3 linked regions of the Diceros bicornis minor genome follow. The protein of the gene in region 2 purifies or fractionates together with the protein of the main gene of each other region. This does not show direct contact. Links are inferred from orthologs where the notes say so. Each region holds a gene or a part of one and is shown on either strand. Other genes may lie near its edges.

Region 1 (7,666 bases), on a different chromosome or scaffold from region 2:
CATTTTGCTTCTCTTTCTTTCTGGCAGGGTGTGGACACTGGTGCAAAATTACAACGGAGAAGGCCCCGCCCTGGGGGAAAGATGCAGCTGGGGAGGACATAAATTCATTTTGCAAGTCCTGGTTCTCCATCTCTGTTCCCTTTGGAAAGCAGGCCTCTAAATCTGGAACTTTCAGTCTTCACTCTTTGACGTCCACTCATATCATAACCACGATAGTATCATAAAATTATCATAGCATCCTCATCATCATAATAGCAGTATCAGTTCTCTCGGTAGATACTTACATGCTGAGTGCTATACACATAGTTTCTCATTTATCAGAAACTCCTAGGAGGGATACCTGTAGGTTACAGATAAGGAAACTGAATCAGGGGCAGCCCCAGGTCCCTGCTCTCAATCATGACTACTGCCTTTCTTAGCCCTTCCTTAGTACCCAATCTCTGTCATTCTGTGACCTTAGCCATATGACTACCCCTCTCAGCCTCAGTTTCCTTACCTGTAAAATGGGGATAACAACAACAGGGTTGTTGTGATGATTAAATGAGAAAATGCCAGTACTCAAGAAATGGAAGCTTCTATTATTATTATTTCTACTATTGTTACTGTTATGAATATCCTGACATGCTACTGTAGTAGTGGACCCCAGGATGCCATCACCTGGGACCACTCTCACAGAGCTGGGGTTCCTGAAGTGTGGAGGTAGGTTTCACACATGGGGGTGGGGGTCCTAAGGTCAGAACCCTGGTGAGAGCATCATGGATCTCCAACCTATTAACTGGTTTATTTCAATATCAAGCATATCTCTATACCTGCATTGTCCAATATGAGCCACCAGTAGCCAAAGAAAGCTACTGGGCACTAGCAATGTGCTGAGTCTGAATTGAGATATGCTGTTAAGTATAAGATACATGTCAGATTTCAAACACAGTACCTATATATATATATTTTAAAATATTGATTGTATGTTGAAATTATAGCTTTTTGGATATATTGGGTAGGGTGACCAACTTGATCTGGTTTGCCAGAGACATTCCTGGTTTTAGCACTGAAATGAAAGGCCTGCATCCCAGGATACTCCTAAGTCCTGGGCAAACCAGGACAGTCAGTCACCTTAATATTAGTTAAAATATATTATAATTAATTTCACCTGTTTCTTTTTGCTATTTAAGTGACACAACTGTTAATTGTTATTAGAATATTAAAAATTATAATGTGGCTCTCATTATATTTATACTGGCCAGTCCAGGCTCTTTTAGGTCTTAAACCCCAGACTATCCCCTGTAAGGGGACAGAGATGACAGTTACCCTTCTTCAGCAACTGACCACAGAAAACAGCATCTAAACTTTAGCATAAAACCAGCACTGTGACCGCACAAAAGCTGAGTGAGGGGACTGCAGGATGGGACACGACTTTTCCAAGTCAGAGGGGAGATGAGAGCATTCTTGGAAGAGGAAACTGCCTGAGCAAAGGCACGGAGGTGGGATCAGGGGAACTTTTGCATACTTGCTTGATTAGAAGACCCTCTTGTGATCAGACTCAGACGGGCTGATTTGGCAACTGGTACAACTTTGAGAAGGAGGCTCACAGTGCTTCAACTTCTGCCCAATGTTTATCTTCAAGTTCAGCTGGTCTCTTCCTTGTAGATGTCTGTGCATCTGCTGCTGTCCTGTCAGGTCCTTGCTGACATGGAGGGATTACTGCTCTGCTTATGTTTTCTTGGTCAGTTTATTCTGACCATGATCTCTCAGGGCTGTAGCAGATTGGTATCAACATCTGTGGGGAACAGACATGGAGGGGAGCCATGGCTTCTTATAGAGACAGACTGGAGTCTGGGAAAATGCAGTTAATTCCAGATGTTTCAGGGACTGATTGTGAAGTCTGTTAATTATGCCCAGTTTCCAGCTACATTAACTGAGCACTTATTCTGTGCCAGGCACTATGCTATGAGTTTTGCTTGTGTTATCTAATAACCCTAGGAGTGGAGTAGGTGTGTTATCTGCATCACCTGGATAAGAAAACTGTGGCTTGCAGAGGTTACTTGTTCAAGGTCACAAAGCCAGAACAGCCAGAATTCACACCCAAAGCCTGTGCTTTTTACTTCTGTACACTCTTCCACTCTGGGCAGTTCTACCAAGAGATCAGAGAAACTTAGGACAAAATTTAGGGTATTTGTTAAATGAAAGCCCTATCAGGCAAAACTGTAGAATACGTTAGCTAAAATGCTCCCTGTAGATATGCCTACCTTTAGTTGTTCATCCTCATGTTTTATCAAATATTGATAAAGAGCCATATGAAGACCTTGTTTGCTTCCTCTCCTTGTCTCTGAAGCCAGTGACCCCCCTCCTCCACCGTGGCTGTTGAATCCCCTTCATCCTCACCATAAATGGCTCCTAGAGAACTTGTAGGCTTCTTCTGATTGGATGGATGGACTCATCCTAAGACAGGGATGTCTCAGCTTTGAGTGAAGTAGACTGGATATTCACACACAGAATTTATTTAGTTATTTGTGTCAAGATCTGGTGAAAACAGAACTATCTTATAAGAAAGGGGAACCTGAGCACATTAGCAGCTGCTGATTGTGCTGAGTTGATCACATTAGCTCCAGTCTCACCTAGCAGGGAGGAGGTCCCCTTGGGAGTGAGACACTGCGGATAGTGAGATGAGTTTGGGTGGAGGAAAGCATGAGGAACGAGGAGCCTCGGGCATGGGGGAGGCAAAGGTCACCAACACTGCCTCTACTGAATCTGCTGCTCAGATTGTGTGGACGAAGGCAAGGCCCAGGCTGGGAACAGCATGGGGGCCGTTAGGCATAGTGTAGACTTTGGAGTTAGATCCAGGTTCAAGCCTGGCTTTGTCTAGTCCTTACCAGCTGACCTCCAGCAAATCTCTTCACTTAGTCACTAAGGAAGGGAATGATCCTTCAAATACGGGCTGGGGCCCGGTAATACACTCTCTCCCCCAGGCTGTTTTCAGCATTTCCAGTGAGTGAGACAATCTGTCTGAACAAAGCACTTCAGCATTGCATGCAAATGACCTGTTATGAAAAGTTAAAACCACAAATCTGCTGGCTTCTCCTGGGCAACACCCGGGCTGGAAGCCCTTGACCTCCATCCTGCCCAACCTCTCTTCCCCCAGGAAGACTGCCCACCCTGACCCCCTTCCCCCAAGCCTTCTTGGGCCCAGGGCACGCTGTGCTTCTCTTATAGACTGGATTCCAGTCCTGTTTATGCTGTGTGCCCTGGGCAAGTCACTTAACTCTCAGTTAATTCTTGTCAAACAGGGCCAATAGCAAAGGAACGGCTTAGCACAGCTCTTGGCACAGTGACAGAGCAGGTACTCGGGAGAAGCTAGCTGCTACTCTTATAATCATTCAGCTGTTGACAGCAGAGGTCTGGCCTGGGTCTCCACTGTTTCCCAGCACCTAGCACAGAACCTGGATGAGTACACAACAGGTGCTCAATACATGGTGTTGGTAGGCAGAATAATGATCCCCAAAGATGTTCATATCCTAATTCCCAGGACCTGTGAATATTACTTTACATGGCAAAGGGGAATTAAAGTTACAGATGGATTAAGATTGCTAACCAGCTGATTTTAAAATATTCTGGATTAACCAACTGGGCCAAATGTAATCACAAGGGTTCTTAAAAGAGTTAGAGGAAGATATGACTGGAGAACCAGAGAGATGACAGCGTGAGAAAAACTCAGCCTGACGTTGCTGGCTTTGAAGATGGAGGAAGAGGCCACAGCCAAGGAATGCAGGAAGCTTCTAGAAGTTGGAAAAGGCAAGGATACAGATTCTTCCCTAGAGCCTCCAGAAAGGAATGCATCCTGCCAATACCTGATTTTAGCTCAGTAAGACTCGTGAGGGACAACTAAGCTACAGAACTGCAAGATAATAAATGTGTGTGTTTTTAAGACAAAGTTCTGGTAATTTGTTACAGCAGCATTAGGAAACTAATATACAGCCAATTATTGTTCATTTCTATTACTACTACTAAGCTGTTAGTTGATTTGTATTTTTCTCTCCCATTAGTCTATGAACTCCTCAAGGTTAAGGAATGTTTATTTACCACTGGTTCACAGGCACTAAGAGGGCCTGGTACACCGTAAGCACTCAATAAACGCTATGAACGGTAATAGTATCATCCAAATGAGTTTAGTTAATATAAATAGTAAAATATCCGTTTCCTTCCTCCAGTGCCTAACACAGTGCCTGGCTCACAGCAGAAGTTCAATAAAAACCCTTAATGAACCTATGGGTGAATGAAGTACCCCTCCCTGCCGGCCCCTCCCCCATGACCCACGCCGCCGTCCGCGCCCATTCTGTCAAGCTCCCTACCTCTGCACGTCCCCTCACTCCGGGACCGGGTGACTTTCTCCTTACGCAGCTCTTCTCCCGCCTAGCTTCCTTTTTTCGAGCCCGTGAGCACACAGCGCGGGGACTCGGGACGCCTCGGAAGATGCGGGGCGCAGTGCACACTTCGGCCGGCTGGGGGCGAGCGTGGCCTGGGAACACCCGCCCGAGGGTTGGGACGGGGCGGGGCATCGGGGGCGGGTCGGCTCAGTGCGCAGGCGCGCGGCCAGACGCCTCGCGCGGCCGGAGGCAGGCGGCCGCAGAGCAGCACCGGCCGCGGCTCCGGTAGCAGCGAGTTCGAGCCCCGCGCCCGCTCCGCGTCGGCTCTCGCTCCCCCGGCCCTTGGGTCTCCCGCCGCCAGTCCCCGGCAGCTCGCTGCGCATTGCGCTCTCCCCGCCGCCAGGATGCCGGTAACCGAGAAGGACCTGGCGGAGGACGCGCCGTGGAAGAAGATCCAGCAGAACACGTTCACGCGCTGGTGCAATGAGCACCTCAAGTGCGTGAACAAACGCATCGGGAACCTGCAGACCGACCTGAGCGACGGGCTGCGGCTCATCGCGCTGCTCGAGGTGCTCAGCCAGAAGCGCATGTACCGCAAGTACCACCAGCGGCCCACCTTCCGCCAGATGCAGCTCGAGAACGTGTCCGTGGCACTCGAGTTCTTGGACCGTGAGAGCATCAAGCTCGTGTCCATCGGTGAGTGCCCTGGCCGGGCCAGGCGCGGGCGGTGTACCATCCCGCCCCCGCAGAAGGCTGGGGCTCCCTGCGGCGCGTCCCCCCCCACGCCCGGCAGCCGCGGGCTGGGTGTGGGCTCCGAGGCCGGGGGGCGTCGTCCCCGAGGGAGTGGGGACATAGGGGACCTAGGCCCCCTCCCTGGTGCCGTCCCCTGGCCTGGGACCTCGTGTGATAGCTCCCCGCCGTGTGCCCCGGCAGTGCATCTCTGGGGGTTTGTGGGTTGGGGGCTTGGGTTGGGGCTGCACGGGGACGGTTAGGGCTGTGGTATTTCTCTGTACCTGGGGTGCCCCTGCGGGAGCTGGGGGACTGGAAACCTCTGGTCCGCCGTCCCCGGGATTGGGGCCTTAGTCAGATTCTCTCCAGCGCGCTCGCCCCGCTGCGCCCAGGCCGGTGCGCTTGGCGGCTGCCGAGTGGGCGTTGGCTCGGAGGCCAGGCGGGGGGACCTGGGGAGGTCCTGTTCTCTGAGCCTGGGGCCTCCCCGCCCAGGTGGAGAGGGGGCCCTTGCACCCTCCCCCGCCGTCTCCGGAATGGGTGTGGGCCCCGAGGTAGGAAGGGGAGTCGCGGGGGTGTGTCCTTCTCGCTCCCTCTGCTCCCAGCTCGCCTCTGGCCCGGCGCCGCGGGATGAGCCGCTCTCGCCGCTGAGAGCGTTATAACTGTGAGAAGTTATAACTGAGAGATGGTGGTGGGAATGGTAATTGCCGCCCTGTAGGGAGCCCAGACCAGTGCGCGTTGTGTGCCACAGCCTTCTCAGTTGTGTCTTTACACATCCCGCGAGTTGGGGTGTCGTTAGACCCATTTTACAGACATGGGGGTCCAGAGGGTTAATTGACTTTCCCAAGGTCATGGAATTAGCGAGGGTCCAGCTGAGAATTGAAGGAAGTGGGTGACAATTCAGGGAGACTTTGCCTTCCTCTCCCCGCCCTCCCCACACCAGGGTCTTCCTGAGAGGAGGGAGGGAGTTGGTGTTGGGTTCCTCTCCCCCTGAGTCCGGAGGGAGAATGAGGATGAGGTCCCCACTATGACCTGGGCTGGTTGAGGACTTCCAGGAGGGTCACAAAGCTGCTGAGGGTGTGGGCTGTGACGGTGGGGGCAAGGGGTGTGTCGTGTGAGTGTGTATGTGCACTTGTATGTGTGTAGAGAATGTGTGTACACCTACATTGTGCATGTGAGTTCTGCCAGGTGAGCATCTTGCCAGAGAGGAGCTGGCGCAGGCCTGGGTCTAGCTAGGGTCTCTTCCTGAGGAAACTAGGCCTTATAGTGACTCTCCCTGACTGGAAGAAAGGGTGGTGGGTGTGGCTGCTGGGACTTTCTCCAGCATAAAAGGGGTTTCCTCTAGGCTGAGTCTTCTCATCCTCTCCCTTGCCTTCCCCTACACCTGTCCTGGCAGGTAGGGCTGCTTCCTGCTTCCTGGGCTCAGGCAGCTGCCACCGCCCAGTCAGCCTCCCCATCAAGGGTGGCTTCTCTGCAGAGGGAAGCTGTATGGCATGCTGTTGTCATCTTTTGGGGGCCTATCTCCTGCAAGTGGGGAAGGAGAAGCTTAGAATTCTCCTGGAATTCTTTCCTTTTCAGAAACCAGCTTCCCCTCTGAGGAATCTCAAGGCTGGGCTCAACTTGGATCCCTTCTCCTTTGTTTTAAAAATGTGTATTTATTTAATTAACTGAACAAAGAAACTTAAAGTAAACCAGGAGTATCCAAACATGACATGAAATCTCTTTAAAAAACAAAACAAACAAAAAAACCAAACCACAGCACCAGAAAATCCTGGACTGCCTAATTCACTGTTTACAGAGGCTACAGCTGTATCCAGCATGGCTTGCCATCAGTGCCCTGAACTTGGGGGTCTCATTGTAGACTTTGCCTGGTCCCTAACATTTTTCTGCTTGACTCATGATTTTCATTCCTGAACACACCCAGGCCTTAGTGACTTCCACTGTCCTGACATTCCAGGGTTAGTTTCCCCTTCCCTGGTTACAGGCCTGTGGGCTGTTGGCAGCTTCTTGCTGTGGACCTCTTTCCACCACAAGTTACATTGTTTTATTTTATTTTCTCCTTTTAAATTATTTCTTGGATCATATTCCCCAAAGTGGTATTCCTGGGTCAAAGGATATGACCACATTTATGACTCCTGTCGTTGGCTGCCTGGTTACTCTCCAGAAAAATCTCACAGCAAACAGGTTTTCCAGCCTCTGGAGACTGATGGGAGACTTGCCAAGTGCCAGGACTCCCATGGGGGTAATGACTGAGGCCTCTTCCCTCTGCTCCTGGGGCTGTTCTGGGTAATTGCCCTTCAGAAAAAAGGCACATCCAGCTTGGACTTCAGTTCAAGTATTCAGTGTTTCTGCTGTGTTTGCATGGTGCTGACAATGACACTAGCTCCAATTTGGGGCATCCACTAGGTGTTAAGTGTTTTCTGTTGATCACCTCATTGATTGCCACATTGAATCCTCGAGTTTCACTTTCCTTGTCTATGTAATGATCTGCTTCAGCGAGTCACTGGGCCGGTTGTGGGCTTGCCCCAGTCCTGGCCAAATGCTTAGAAAATGGTTGCCATTATTCTGTGGTTGTTATTAGT
Region 2 (6,222 bases):
GGTCAGTGTGGGAACAGCGGCCTCCTTTGCGCCCTCTGCACCACACCCATCCTGCTCTCCCCAGACACCCACTGCAGGGGGCTGTGGCCAGGAGGGGGACGTGCGGACAAGCGGGGGTGAGGCTCTGGCATAAGAAGGAATGGGGTCCAGAACAGTGAGGCTGTGGCCCAGGTCAGAGGGTGCCACCTGCTCAGCCTTCCTGGTCTCGTTGGAGGAACAGGGTGACACTCCTTGTGAGAATATGGAAAAGAGGAGGCTGCTTATTCAATGAGCCCAGGCTAATTAGACTTCAACAATACACCTTCCTTAAGAAACGTGGCCCACCCGGGGTCTCTGATGACACATTTCCTGGTGGCCACGGTGAGTAACAAGCCCTGTGCTACTTTCTCAGAAGCCGTGGTGCCCCTGTGGCCCCAATGCCTCCATCAGGAGGCCTGCAGGGCGACCCAGTCCATCACCTCAGAGGGCCCCAGCCCTATCATCAGGGGGGACCCTCAAGCTGTGACCCAGGGCCTCTAGCCAATCAGATGTGTCCAGATGATGGTATCAGGAGTGGTGACTGGCCAATGGAAAGGTGGAGAACAGAGAGGTGAGTCAAGTCTTGTTGGAAGGTGGAGGCCGGTCGACTTTCATCAGATGGAAGAATCTGGGCTGTGAGGTCGGGTCCCTGCAACAGCCACGTGAAGAAGGAGCCAGGGGAACAGTCAGTCCCACGTCCGGCCCAACCCTCAGGCCCAACTGGGGCTCACTCGGCTGAGAACCACCCAGCCCGTGAGGAAGGCAGCACTGTTTCTAGAACAGGCAACAAGCTTTATGTGATCCTCCAAAAGTCAGAATTAAGTAGAGAGAAGATGATGCAAGGTCAAGTCCACTTTTTGTTGTGGTAACGGGTTCACGGGTGGTAGCTACGTGGGAACTCCTTAAACTGCACAAAAATAGCTGAGGTTCTGCTGTATGTCAATTATACCTCATTAAAGTTGTAAAAAAATCAGGGGCTGGCCTTGTGGCTTAGCGGTTAAGCGCGCGCGCTCTGCTACTGGCGGCCCGGGTTTGGGTCCGGCGTGCACCGACGCACCGCTTCTCCGGCCATACTGAGGCCGTGTCCCACATACAGCAACTAGGAGGATGTGCAGCTATGACGTACAACTACCTACTGGGGCTTTGGGGGGAAAAAGGAGGAGGACTGGCAATGGATGTTGGCTCAGAGCCGGTCTTCTTCAGCAAAAAGAGGAGGATTGGCACGGATGTCAGCTCAGGGCTGATCCTCCTCACAAAAAAAAAAAAAAGTTGTAAAACAATCAGACTCATAGTTTTACACTTTGGAAAGTTATGTCGGATTAGCCTCGAGATCCTAAATTCAAATGCACACTTAATAAAGGATTGAGGTTTGTGATTTTAAGCAGAAAGATAGGAAGATTAATTTGTTGAGAACTCAGAATTCTGAAAACTCAAGATTCAGCACATTTTTACATTTGATTTCATTACATGTGTAAAGATTCACTCGTTCACACGCAAGAGTCCTCTGCACCTTTCACGGGCAGGTTCCACGGTGAACATTTTAGTGAGGGAGAGAGACCACAACAATAGCGAGTAAGTAAACTATATGGTTATTAGAAGGTAAAAAGTGCTGTGGGGAGAAGCAGCAAGGGAGCAGGTGGTCAGGGGGGCCCCACCTCGGGGGTAACATTTAAGCAAAGACGGGAAGGAGGTGAAGGAAGTGAACCATGCAGATGTGGGGCGTGGGAGCATTCCAGGAAGAGGGGAAGCAGTGCAAGGGCCCTGGGGCAAGAGTGTGCCTGGCACCCCCTAAGCACAGCAAGGAGGCCAGTGTGTTGGAGCCAAGCCCTTCAGGGGAGGAGGGAGGGACAGGAGAGGAGAGGCGAGGGCAAGCGAAGTGGCCAGAGGCCGCTGTGTTGTGGCAAGCTTAAGCTCCTTCTGTCACTCTGAGGGTGATGGGAAGCCATGGGGATGGAAGGTTTTGTGTAGATCACTCTGGCTGCTGGTCAATAACAGATTATGGGAGTGGGGCAGGATAGAAGCAAGACCCCTAGGATGTATCTGCAGTGGCCCAGGTGAGAGAGGGTGGTGCCCTGGACCAGGGCGTACAGGTGTAAGTGGTGAGAACTGTGCACGTTCTTGGGAAGGTTTTTTGCTGTTGCTGCTGTTCTTAGTTGAAGCGCTTATAAATAAAATCAGGGGGCTGGCCCCGTGGCGTAGCAGTCAAGCGTCCCGTATAAAGTGGAGGAAGATGGGCACAGTTGTTAGCTCAGGGCCAGTCTTCCTCAGCAAAAACAGGAGGATTGGCGTGGATGTTGGCTCAAGACTGATCTTCCTCACAAAAAAAATAAAATAAAATCAAGTATATTAAACATTATAGATGTTGTTTTAAAAGTTGAAGGAAGTTTAAATTAGTTTGTAAATGAGACCAAATATTAACCAAAGGCCCCTTTATAAGTGACTGTTGTAATTTCATAAATAGAATATTAACATTTGTGACTAGAACTTATATATTTTGTGGCCATGTTATTAGGTGCCTACAAGTTTAAATTTATTTCATTTTACAGTGAATCCAAGCTTTTATTATTCTGTATCTCTGGAAACGCTTTGCCTATAAGATTTCTTTGTTAATATGCTAATAAAATTGTTAATATGGCCACATCTGTCTCCCTTAGTCAAGATTTGTGTGGTATGTTTCTCGCCATCCTTTTACTTTCAAATCTCCTGTATCTTTATATTTCAGATGATTCTTGTCTTCTATAAGCCATGTAAAATCAGGTTATTTTTAACCAGCCTGATAGTCTTGGCCATTTAGTTTCCCTGGATTTCGAACCTCTGTCCTGCAGAACTGCAAGGGAATAAATATCTGTTGTTTTAAGCCCCCCAGTGTGTGGTGATTTGTTACGGCAGGAGACTAAGACAGGTGCTCCCCAGGTTCTGTGGCTTGCCTCCTTAATAACCGTGCATTTAGTTCTGCCCATCAGAAGCAGGAAGACAGCTGGTAACACAGGAGGAAGTAAATAAAAGAAAATGAAGATCATAGTACCACATGCCAACATCAAGAAATCAAGAGATATATACACCATGTTTAATGTGGCCATCTGGAGGAAATGGGGGATTTTCACATTCTGTTTTCTTTGTTTCAATGAATGTTTGTGGTTTTCTTTTTATAATACCAATATTATTCATGTAAGGAATGAATCAAGATATAAACTTAAAATAATAAAAAAAGGGCTCAGCCCAGTGGCCTAGTGGTTAAGTTCACGCCCTCCACTTCAGCAGCCTGGGGTTCGTGGGTTCAGATCCCGGGTGCGGACCGACACACTGCTCATCAAGCCATGCTGTGGCGGCATCCCACATACAAAATAGAGGAAGGGCACAGATGTTAGCACCGGGACAATCTTCCTCAAGCAAAAACAAACAAACAAACAAACAAATAATAATAATAAAAAGAAAGAAATTTAAAACCCCTTGTTTGGGGGGAGGGTGAGAGGGGTAAAGGGGCACGTGTGTATGGTGAGGGATGGCAACCAGAATCTTGGTGGTGAGCACAATGCAGTCTACACAGAAGTGGAAATGTAATGATGAACACCTGAAATTTATATAATGTTATAAAGCAATGTTACCTCAAAAAAATAAATTAAAAAGATAAAATAAAACCCCCTGTTTGCTTTTTGTGTGTTAACAATTTTGATGCCTTATGAGATTTTGGGGGAGGAGGGAGGTAAAATGGTCAAGATTCATATTTAAAACATTTTGTTTTTTCCACTCTTTTACTTTTTTACTTAAAAATGTATTTACTTTTTATTTTTAGCTAACTTATGACCGTTATGTGCTGTTTGTAATAGTAAAAATTTGGGGACAAACTAAATATTCAATAATATGAGACTGGTTACTAAATCACACTCTAGGCTATAATGGCCTCGCTGGGTTAAGGGATAGTGTCCATGAGTTCATTTTTGTAGAAACAAAAGGTGCATCTTGGGCCGGCCCCGCGGCTTAGCGGTTAAGTGCGCATGCTCCGCTGGCTGGCGGCCCGGATTCAGATCCTGGGTGCGCACCGACACACCACTTCTCCGGCCATGCTGAGGCCGCGTCCCACATACAGCAACTAGAAGGCTGTGCAACTATGACATACAACTATCTTCTGGGGCTTTGGGGGAAAAAATTAATAAATAATTTAAAGAAAAAAGGTGAATTTCTTTCACAGGAAAGCAATCTGAACAAATATTGTCCTAAAGCGATGTGATTACCTCTGAGTAGTTCGGATTGTCACTATTTTCTGTTATTTCTGAACTGACCATGACAATGCTTTCCAAGTTTGCTAATTTTGCAAATTGGTAAATGGAAAGTGAAAGTTTCCAATCTTCAGATCGTGTTATCACGACTTGTCATCCCGTGAAGGACCTGACGTGGTAGGCATTTAGGGGGTTTCCGAAGGCACACCCCTGAGGGGCAGGGATTCGGTCACCATTCTGTTTTGTTTCCTCCACTCACTCTGGGGCTAGCCTTGGGAAAAGGAAACCGAAACTGGAGCGGAATTCGGCCGACACCGCCCCGTGCATGACGTGCTCGCTCAGGCCCATAAAAGGGCTGAGCCCCGAGGGCTGCAGCAAGAGCTGGAAGCCGAGCCCTGCGATTCGCCAGTGCCTGTGGAGGACTCGGCGCCAGAGCCCACAGCCATGGTGAGGGGGCTGACAGGTGGGGGCAGGTGGGCTCTGCACCAGCTGATTTTCCTACCCCTCGTGGGGTCTCCCGGGGGTGGAGCATCTACTGTGTGCCAGGCAAGCAGAGCTGCTCACAGTGCCCCAGGTGCCTCAGCAGGAGGGGAGGGACAGGGCTCCTTCTGTCCTCAGGGTCTGGGTTTTGGAAGGCCGGTTCTGCCCAGTGGCCAACTCTGAAGTCCCTTGGGGCCGGCACAGGGAGCATCTTAGCAGGTGAAGGGAGGCGACATGATGGTCCTGGGTGGCTGGCCATTCTTCTAGAAATGCATTCCTGTGCGTTTCCAGCACCCGGGGTCCCTCTCCTGGTGGGCGGGGAGGACGGCAAGGAGAGAGCAGCGTCTAGGGGCCTTAGGAGTTTGCGCTGTGACTAATGCTGTGCGTGTAGGGGCCCCAAGACTGGTGCCAGGGCCTCTGAGTCTGTGTGATGCCCAAAGGGTCGGGACCTGAAGGTGAAGATGCTGGGAGGTGAGGAGTTCCTGGTGCACCTGACAGACTCCATGCTGGGCTCGGAGCTGAAGCAGCAGATCGCCCAGAAGACCGGAGTGCCCCCCTTCCAGCAGCGCCTGGCCACCCACCCGGCCGGCACGGTGCTGCAAGACAGGGTCCCCCTCGTCAGCCAGGGCCTGCAGCCCGGCAGCACGGTCTTGCTGGTCGTGCAGAACTGCGACGACCCCCTGAGCATCCTGGTGAGGAATGACAGGGGTCGCAGCAGCGCCTATGAGATCCGGCTGACGCAGACGGTGGCGGAGCTCAAGCAGCAGGTGTGCCGGCAGGAGAACGTGCACGCTGACCAGTTCTGGCTGACTTTCGAGGGGAAGCCCATGGAGGACCAGCGCCAGCTGGGGGAGTACGAGCTCACGGCCTGGTGCACGGTGTACATGAACTTGCGCCTGCGGGGGGGCGGGGCAGGGCACCGGGGGCCACGCTGAAGGCCCCCACCTGAGTCCCTGACCAAGTGCCTGTAATAAAAGCTGATGCAACGCTAAATGGCTGCCTCTGCCTGCTCTCGCCCCTTCCCCACACGCCGCAGCATCAGCCAGCCCTCCATTCCACACCCCTGATGATGAGGTTGGGGGAGGGGCGAGGAGGGAGCTGAGTAAAGAGCCCAGGGTCGCTTGGTGGTGATCAGGCTGGGGTTGCCAAGTTAAGGGACAAGCCCTAGTGGAACCTAAATAGTGACACTCCCACTGCCCTCGCCACCCCCCCAGGAATTGAAGATGTATCCCCACACCTTTGGGAAATTAACTTGTAGAGAAACAAAAAGAGGCACATTTGCTGGAGCCCATCCCTGGCCCAGGTGGAGCCCCGGCCAGCCACTGCACCACTGGTCCCCTCCCCCCACGTCCTGGGCAGCAGACAGCACAGGGAAGGGAAGGCCTGGTTCCAAATGCCACAAAGTGAGGTCCCTGCTGGGACCAGCACCCTGGAAGTGGTGAGGGGGTGAGTCCCTAGGGCCCGGCTGGGTGGGTTGTGAGGGAGGCTCGTCTACACCAGCTGGAGG
Region 3 (6,056 bases), on a different chromosome or scaffold from region 2:
CCCTTCCTCCTCCAGGGCCCCCTCCAGCTGAAAAGGGCTCTTAGGACACCTAAGACACGAGGGTGCTCCAGCCATAGGGCCTCCCCCCTCCACAGCCACCACGGGGGATGTCACATCTCCAGGTCCTCCCTCACCCCTGCCTCCACTCACCATATACACACCCGCTCCAGCAGCATTAGCAGGCAGAGTGGGCAGTCGGTGCAGGGGACCTGGGGGGGAGGAAGGAGAGTGGAGGAGAAACTGTTGATTCACGGTGCTGGAAGGAGCCTTAGAGAACATCCAGTCCAATGGTCTCATTGTACAGATGAAGAAAATGAGTCACGGGAGCCGGCCGCCAGCCAAGGTCACAGAGTGAGAGACATGCAGATCCCCAGACTCCCAAGCTAGACAGATTCTTTCTGCTGGACAGCGGGGCGGGAGGGGCCAGAGGATGGATCCCCAGCCCTCCCACCTGGCCCCTCCTTGGCCCCCCTTCAGCAGTGATGGGTGCGAAGTGACCCCAAGGCCAGCCAGAAGCCAGAGGCCTAGGGGATAGACTGGAGATGGAAATGGACTCCCTGAGGGGCAGTGTCTAGACGCTTCCAGAAAGACCTGGTGCCCCTCACCCCATGCACTCTAATTACTGCTGCCCACATTTTTAGTTCCCAGCAGGCCCAGCGACTGGTGCAATCCGTCAGCTGTCAGGCCTCTCTGGGGAGCTCGGGCAGTTGCCTGAAGACTCCAGCGCTTTCTCTGAGGCTGGGCCAGCAAGGGAGAGAATGGCTCAGCGCAGTTGGCAAAGAACTGCCGAGGGTGTGGCTATGCGGCCAAGGCCTCAGGCACAGTGCCAGGCTGGGAGGCTGGGAGGCTGGTCTTGGGGCTGCGGCAGAGTACCCCAGACTTTGGGGCTAGGGATGATGGGTGGGCCCTTGTGATTAAGGAATCCCAGACCCTGCAGTGCCCATCTACCTCCAGTCCCCCTGGCTTCTGGGAAATCCCTGGGGGGTGGACTTATCCTCATAATCTCAGAAAAACTACTCCTGGCAGCTCAGTGCCCCAATGCTAGAGTGGAAGATTGTCAAAGAACATCTGGGAAGGTGGGCAAGAGGAGCTGACGTCAGCCTTTGCTTCTCTTTCCAAGCCCTGTGCCTGGGTGCAGGGGTGCAACCTCCTAGAGGAAGGGCACCTGGGCAGAGCTGGAGGGACCCCAGGGAGCCTGGCCCAACCCTCCCCATCCCGACAGGCAACCTTTGGCTGCACACCTCACCCTGCACCCACAGCCCTCCCTGGACGGCCTGGTAAGTCTCTCCAGCACCAGAATCAGGAGACTCACGAGCCTGATAAGATACTTGGACACTCTATATAAAGTGCGTACATCTGGGTAACTTTCATTAGTCTAAGTCTCAACATCTAAACAATGAAAGGCCCTCCTCCCTTAATAAGGATGGACACTTCACTGAGCACCAGGCACTTCACACACGTTATTGCATCTGAGATTCACCGCTGCAAGATGGGCACATTAGTAGTCATGTTTTGCTGATGGGGACCTGTGGGCTCAGAGAGGTCACAGGCCAGTGAACACCAGCACCCAGATTGAAGCCCAGGCTGTCTGACCCCAAAAGCCAGTTTCTCCCACATACCCTACACCCTCTTACCACCACCCAGAGCCACCCTTGTCCCCTCCCTGTGATTGGCAGGGTGATCTAAGAGTCCCTCAAGAACTGCCCCGTTGAAGATGGATGTGAATTCTCAATTCTGCCTCCCCACCCACCGTGGGCAGAGTGCTGTGCGGGTTGCAACTTGGGTTGCACAACTTCCCCTGGCTGGGGCAGTGGGAATAAATCCTCCCTGTCCTGGTTTCAGGCAGATGAAGGGAGCTATGAAGGGAGCTTGTGTCTGCAAAGCGCTGGCAGCCAGCCAGGCAGCCCCACCCAGAGCGTGACTGGGCCTGGCAGGGCCACACTTGAAAGCATCCATGACCACACCGGACAGCTCCCTCTAGGGTGGGACACCTGGGCTCCAGTCTGGGCCAAGGCGGGCAGGCAGGCGTGGACGAGAGCCCTCCAGGCTCCTGACCTCACCCCGACTTTATAGAGCTGGGGAAAGGTGGGGCTGGGAGTGCCAGGGAGTGAAGGCCTAGGGCTTCCTGAAGCTGAGACCCTTGGGGGACGCCCAGTAGCTCCCAACTCAGACCCACTAGCTCATGACATGATCCAGCAAGGGAGGTGGAGCAGAGGGCATGGGTCCTGTCTGCCTCCCACCCTTGGCCCACGAGAGCCCCAGGAGCTCAGAGGCCTTTTCAGAGGTGACCTCAGATTCATGCCCAGCCTCAGCTCTTTTCTGATGGGGAGCAGGTGGGTAAGGAAGAAGAGCATCCAGGAGCTTTCTCTCTTGAAGAGGAAACTGAGGCTCAGAGAGGGCATGAGACTTGGTGCTACCCCCAACTCATCAAGGCGAGTGGCTCAGAGTCTGGCTTCCAGCCCCTCAGGTGTCCTGGGTAGCAAAAGGCCCCCTACAGAACTGGCAGGAGGTCATCCTCAGCCCAGCCCCGGGAGAGGGGCAGCAAGCAAGAAAGAGAGAAACGGCGGGGGGACTCCAAGATGGGAGCCCTCAACAGCAAGAGCCCTGGGCACTAGAGAGGTAAGAGGCTACTCTGCTAGTGTCCCAGTGGAGACAGTGGGCAAGTCACTTAATCTCTTTGAACCTCAGTTTCCTCATCTAAAAAGGAAAGATCATAGGACATAAGTGGGGAGAAATAAGGCTGGACCAGGGTGGTGCATGTGAAGGCAAGAGAGAGGGACCGTCAGGATTACGGCAGGAGCCTGCGGCAGAGCCCTCTCCCAGAGTTGGGAGATGGGGGCCTGGATCCATAAGTGGTCAGAGAGAGAGGAGGTGAGGTCAAGGGGCAGGCCTCAGGCTCCAGGCAGTGTGAGTGGACTGCGCAGCCTGGAGCCCCCTTGCCCTTTGTGCCATGGGAATCATCAACAAAAAAGGGGCTTTGAGATCATAATCTGCAAAAAGGGAAATTGAGGCCTAGAGAAAGGAGGGGCCTTGCTCCGAATCACAAGTAAGTCCATGGCAAAGCCCAGACTACAGTCAAGGTTGTGGCCCTTCAGGTTCCCTGTGCAGGGCTCCTCAAGGAAGGACAGATATGATGGGGAGACTTCACAATAACCTCCTCCTGACCCCCTCTCAGCACTGGGCCTTGGGGTATCTTACCTGGGCCAGCCCCCCTAGGGGGAACAGAGAAAATGGCCAAACCCACACAAGCACTGCCTTTGCAATAGGGGTACATGCACACTCTCCTTCCTCGTCCCTCTATTCAGTTTCAGGTGGACAAAAATAACAATAACTAATCATTATCATGTACCAGGCCCTGGACTGAAGTCTTTACTTGCATTAAGTTGCTGAATCCTCACACCAACCCAATGATGTAAGCATTATTATTATCATCGTCTCCATTTTCCAGATGGAGAAACTAAGGCACCCAGAGTCTAACTCACACAAGTTCCTCCAATTAGTGGCAGAATCAGGATGTGACCTCAGGCAGTCTGGCCTCAGAGCTCACACTCTGAAAACCCCACCAGCCTGCTTCTTAAGACATTCTTTCACAGACACTCGGTGGTTCAAATCCTGGATCTGCCACTTCCTAGTTGTGTGTCCTGGGACAGGCGGCCCAACCTCTCTCAGCTTTGCCCCCTTGGACAAAAGGATAGGACTGCCCACAGTCGGCGGCCCAGCACTTTAGCGCCCAGGCCTGCGAGTGTCCGGCAGTGAGCACTGCACCAGCATCGGTGCTCCAGTCATCTGTTTTCTTGAACAAGAGAAGGTTCCAGATGTGGGCCGGGCCTTCCTCGTCCCGCCCCCACCCCGGTATGCAGAGGGAGGGATGCGGGGGAGGAGCTGCCCCTAGTCCGTCATTGCCTTTAATAGAGACCTGAAACACCGCCTGCTAAAAATACCCGTCTGGAGGCCTATAAAAGCGCTGCGGGGCCGGGCCCAGCACTTCTCCGAGCCGCAGCCAGACGCGCAGAGCCGAGCAAGAATGACCGAGCGCCGCGTGCCCTTCTCGCTCCTGCGGAGCCCCAGCTGGGACCCTTTCCGCGACTGGTACCCGGCCCACAGCCGCCTCTTCGACCAGGCCTTCGGGCTGCCCCGGCTGCCCGAGGAGTGGTCGCAATGGTTCAGCCACGGCGGCTGGCCGGGCTACGTGCGCCCGCTGCCCGGGGCGGCGATCGAGGGCCCCGGCGCGGTGGCCGTGCCCGCCTACAGCCGCGCGCTCAGCCGGCAGCTGAGCAGCGGCGTCTCCGAGATCCGGCAGACCGCCGACCGCTGGCGCGTGTCCCTGGACGTCAACCACTTCGCCCCCGAGGAGCTGACCGTCAAGACCAAGGACGGCGTGGTGGAGATCACCGGTGAGCCCCCCGCCCCGCGGCGACGAAGCTGGCGGCGCGGGGGTTGGACCGTGAGCCAGAGGCCTGGGCAGTGAAAAATTAGCCAAGGACCGAAGGCCAGAGCCCTCGGCTGGGCCTGGCCTCCCCGCCCTGCCCCCTAGCCCGTGCCCCCTGCTCTAGAATGGGGCCTGCGGGGACCTCCTAAGGGCCTTTCGGCCGTAAAAACGCGCTATTAAGGGAAGAAACGCTCCCTTCCAAGGAGACACCCCCACCCCTCCCCCACACCCACCCCCAATGACCAGGTCTCGCAGCGCCCACCCGCGCCTCCCCCCCCCCTCCGCGGTCAGTGTGAAGAGGACGTTGTCGGCTCTGTCCCTGCCCCTAGCTCTGGTCTGCGGAAGGGGCGTGTGCACGAGCCTGGCGCCACGCCCCCACCCCCCCCAAACCCTGAACTGAGCTTTCCAGAAGCTTCTTAGGGCCCGGGACAGTCCGGGGCCCCCAAATTCCGTAGTCATTTTTCCTCCTCCATGAATCCTGGGGGCCATGAATCCCGGCCACCCGGTGGGGCAGGTGGGGCAGGTTTGGACGGGGGCAGGCCTTTGAGGTGGCCTCTCCCCCCAACCTTTGACCTCACTCTCCCCCCAGGCAAGCACGAGGAGAGGCAGGACGAGCATGGCTACATCTCCAGGTGCTTCACTCGAAAATACACGTAAGTCCTGGTGCCAGATTGTGGGGGAGTGGGGAGGGTGCAGTGACAGACTGGTGTGTAACTCTCGGCTTCTCTCTCTGCATGTCCAGGCTGCCCCCAGGTGTGGACCCTACCCTGGTCTCCTCCTCCCTGTCCCCTGAGGGCACTCTCACCGTGGAGGCCCCGATTCCCAAGTCAGCCACCCAGTCGGCGGAGATCACCATCCCTGTCACCTTCGAGGCACGTGCCCAGCTGGGGGGCCCAGAAGCTGGGAAGTCGGAGCAGCCTGGAGCCAAGTAAAGGCCTTAGCCCTGCTGCCTACCCCCCAGTAGCCACCACTGACCATCCCCACCTGCCAATCTGTATACTCTTTTGATACATTCACCTTCTGTTTTTCTCAAATAAAGTTCAAGTCCCTGCCTGCTACTGCCTCAGACCCTGGTGTTTGTGGAGGCCTAGGGGTCAGTGCCATCTGCTGGCTCACACATTCATCATATTTGCTGAGGGCCTGCTGTGTGCCAAGCCCCATGCTGGGCCCTGTGGGTACAGTGGTGTCCATCACAGGGGCAGGTGTGGGAGCGGGGAAACCAGGAGAGGCACCTGGCCCAGGCTTGGGCCCTCAGGGACACCTAGGCTAGGGTCAGGTGAAGGGGGACGGAGCAGGGCTGAGGGAGGGGAGCTTCCTGGGAGCTCAGAGTCCCTTCCTGACTTCATTATTCTTCCAGATTTGAGCAGGACCCTGTAGACGGTATAGGAGGTGTGGCAACTCCAGGTGACTTTCTGAGGGGAGGTTGGCCTAGTCGAAGGACCTGTTCCCGCACACCCGTGCCTGCAGGGTGGGGCCTGGGCTCTCAGGCCAAGGGCGTCCTGCAGAGAGTGAGGGCAATGTGGCCCGGGTTTTGGTGGAAGAGACACAGAGTCCTAACTGGGAAGGCGGTCACTCCAGGAGGGCTGCCTTGACTGTCCCAGGCAGGAACAGTCACACCCACCTTTGT

What was found.
Region 1: the proteins of ISG15 (region 2) and FLNB purify together in Homo sapiens (affinity purification with mass spectrometry; 3 studies listed by BioGRID and IntAct, with this or other methods). This does not show direct contact. The link is inferred for Diceros bicornis minor from reciprocal best matches to the Homo sapiens genes ISG15 and FLNB.
Region 3: the proteins of ISG15 (region 2) and HSPB1 purify together in Homo sapiens (affinity purification with mass spectrometry; 3 studies listed by BioGRID, with this or other methods). This does not show direct contact. The link is inferred for Diceros bicornis minor from reciprocal best matches to the Homo sapiens genes ISG15 and HSPB1.

The regions. Positions count from the first base shown.
Region 1 is NC_080741.1:57,958,659-57,966,324, forward strand, and holds the start of FLNB (filamin-B), read left to right. Parts: upstream 1-4,633; 5' UTR 4,634-4,762; coding exon 4,763-5,054; intron 5,055-7,666. UniProt on the Homo sapiens protein: Connects cell membrane constituents to the actin cytoskeleton. May promote orthogonal branching of actin filaments and links actin filaments to membrane glycoproteins. Anchors various transmembrane proteins to the actin cytoskeleton.
Region 2 is NC_080752.1:21,991,647-21,997,868, forward strand, and holds ISG15 (ubiquitin-like protein ISG15), read left to right. Parts: upstream 1-4,551; 5' UTR 4,552-4,679; coding exon 4,680-4,682; intron 4,683-5,155; coding exon 5,156-5,650; 3' UTR 5,651-5,708; downstream 5,709-6,222.
Region 3 is NC_080765.1:3,494,416-3,500,471, forward strand, and holds HSPB1 (heat shock protein beta-1), read left to right. Parts: upstream 1-3,965; 5' UTR 3,966-4,024; coding exon 4,025-4,394; intron 4,395-5,018; coding exon 5,019-5,082; intron 5,083-5,171; coding exon 5,172-5,361; 3' UTR 5,362-5,485; downstream 5,486-6,056. UniProt on the Homo sapiens protein: Small heat shock protein which functions as a molecular chaperone probably maintaining denatured proteins in a folding-competent state. Plays a role in stress resistance and actin organization.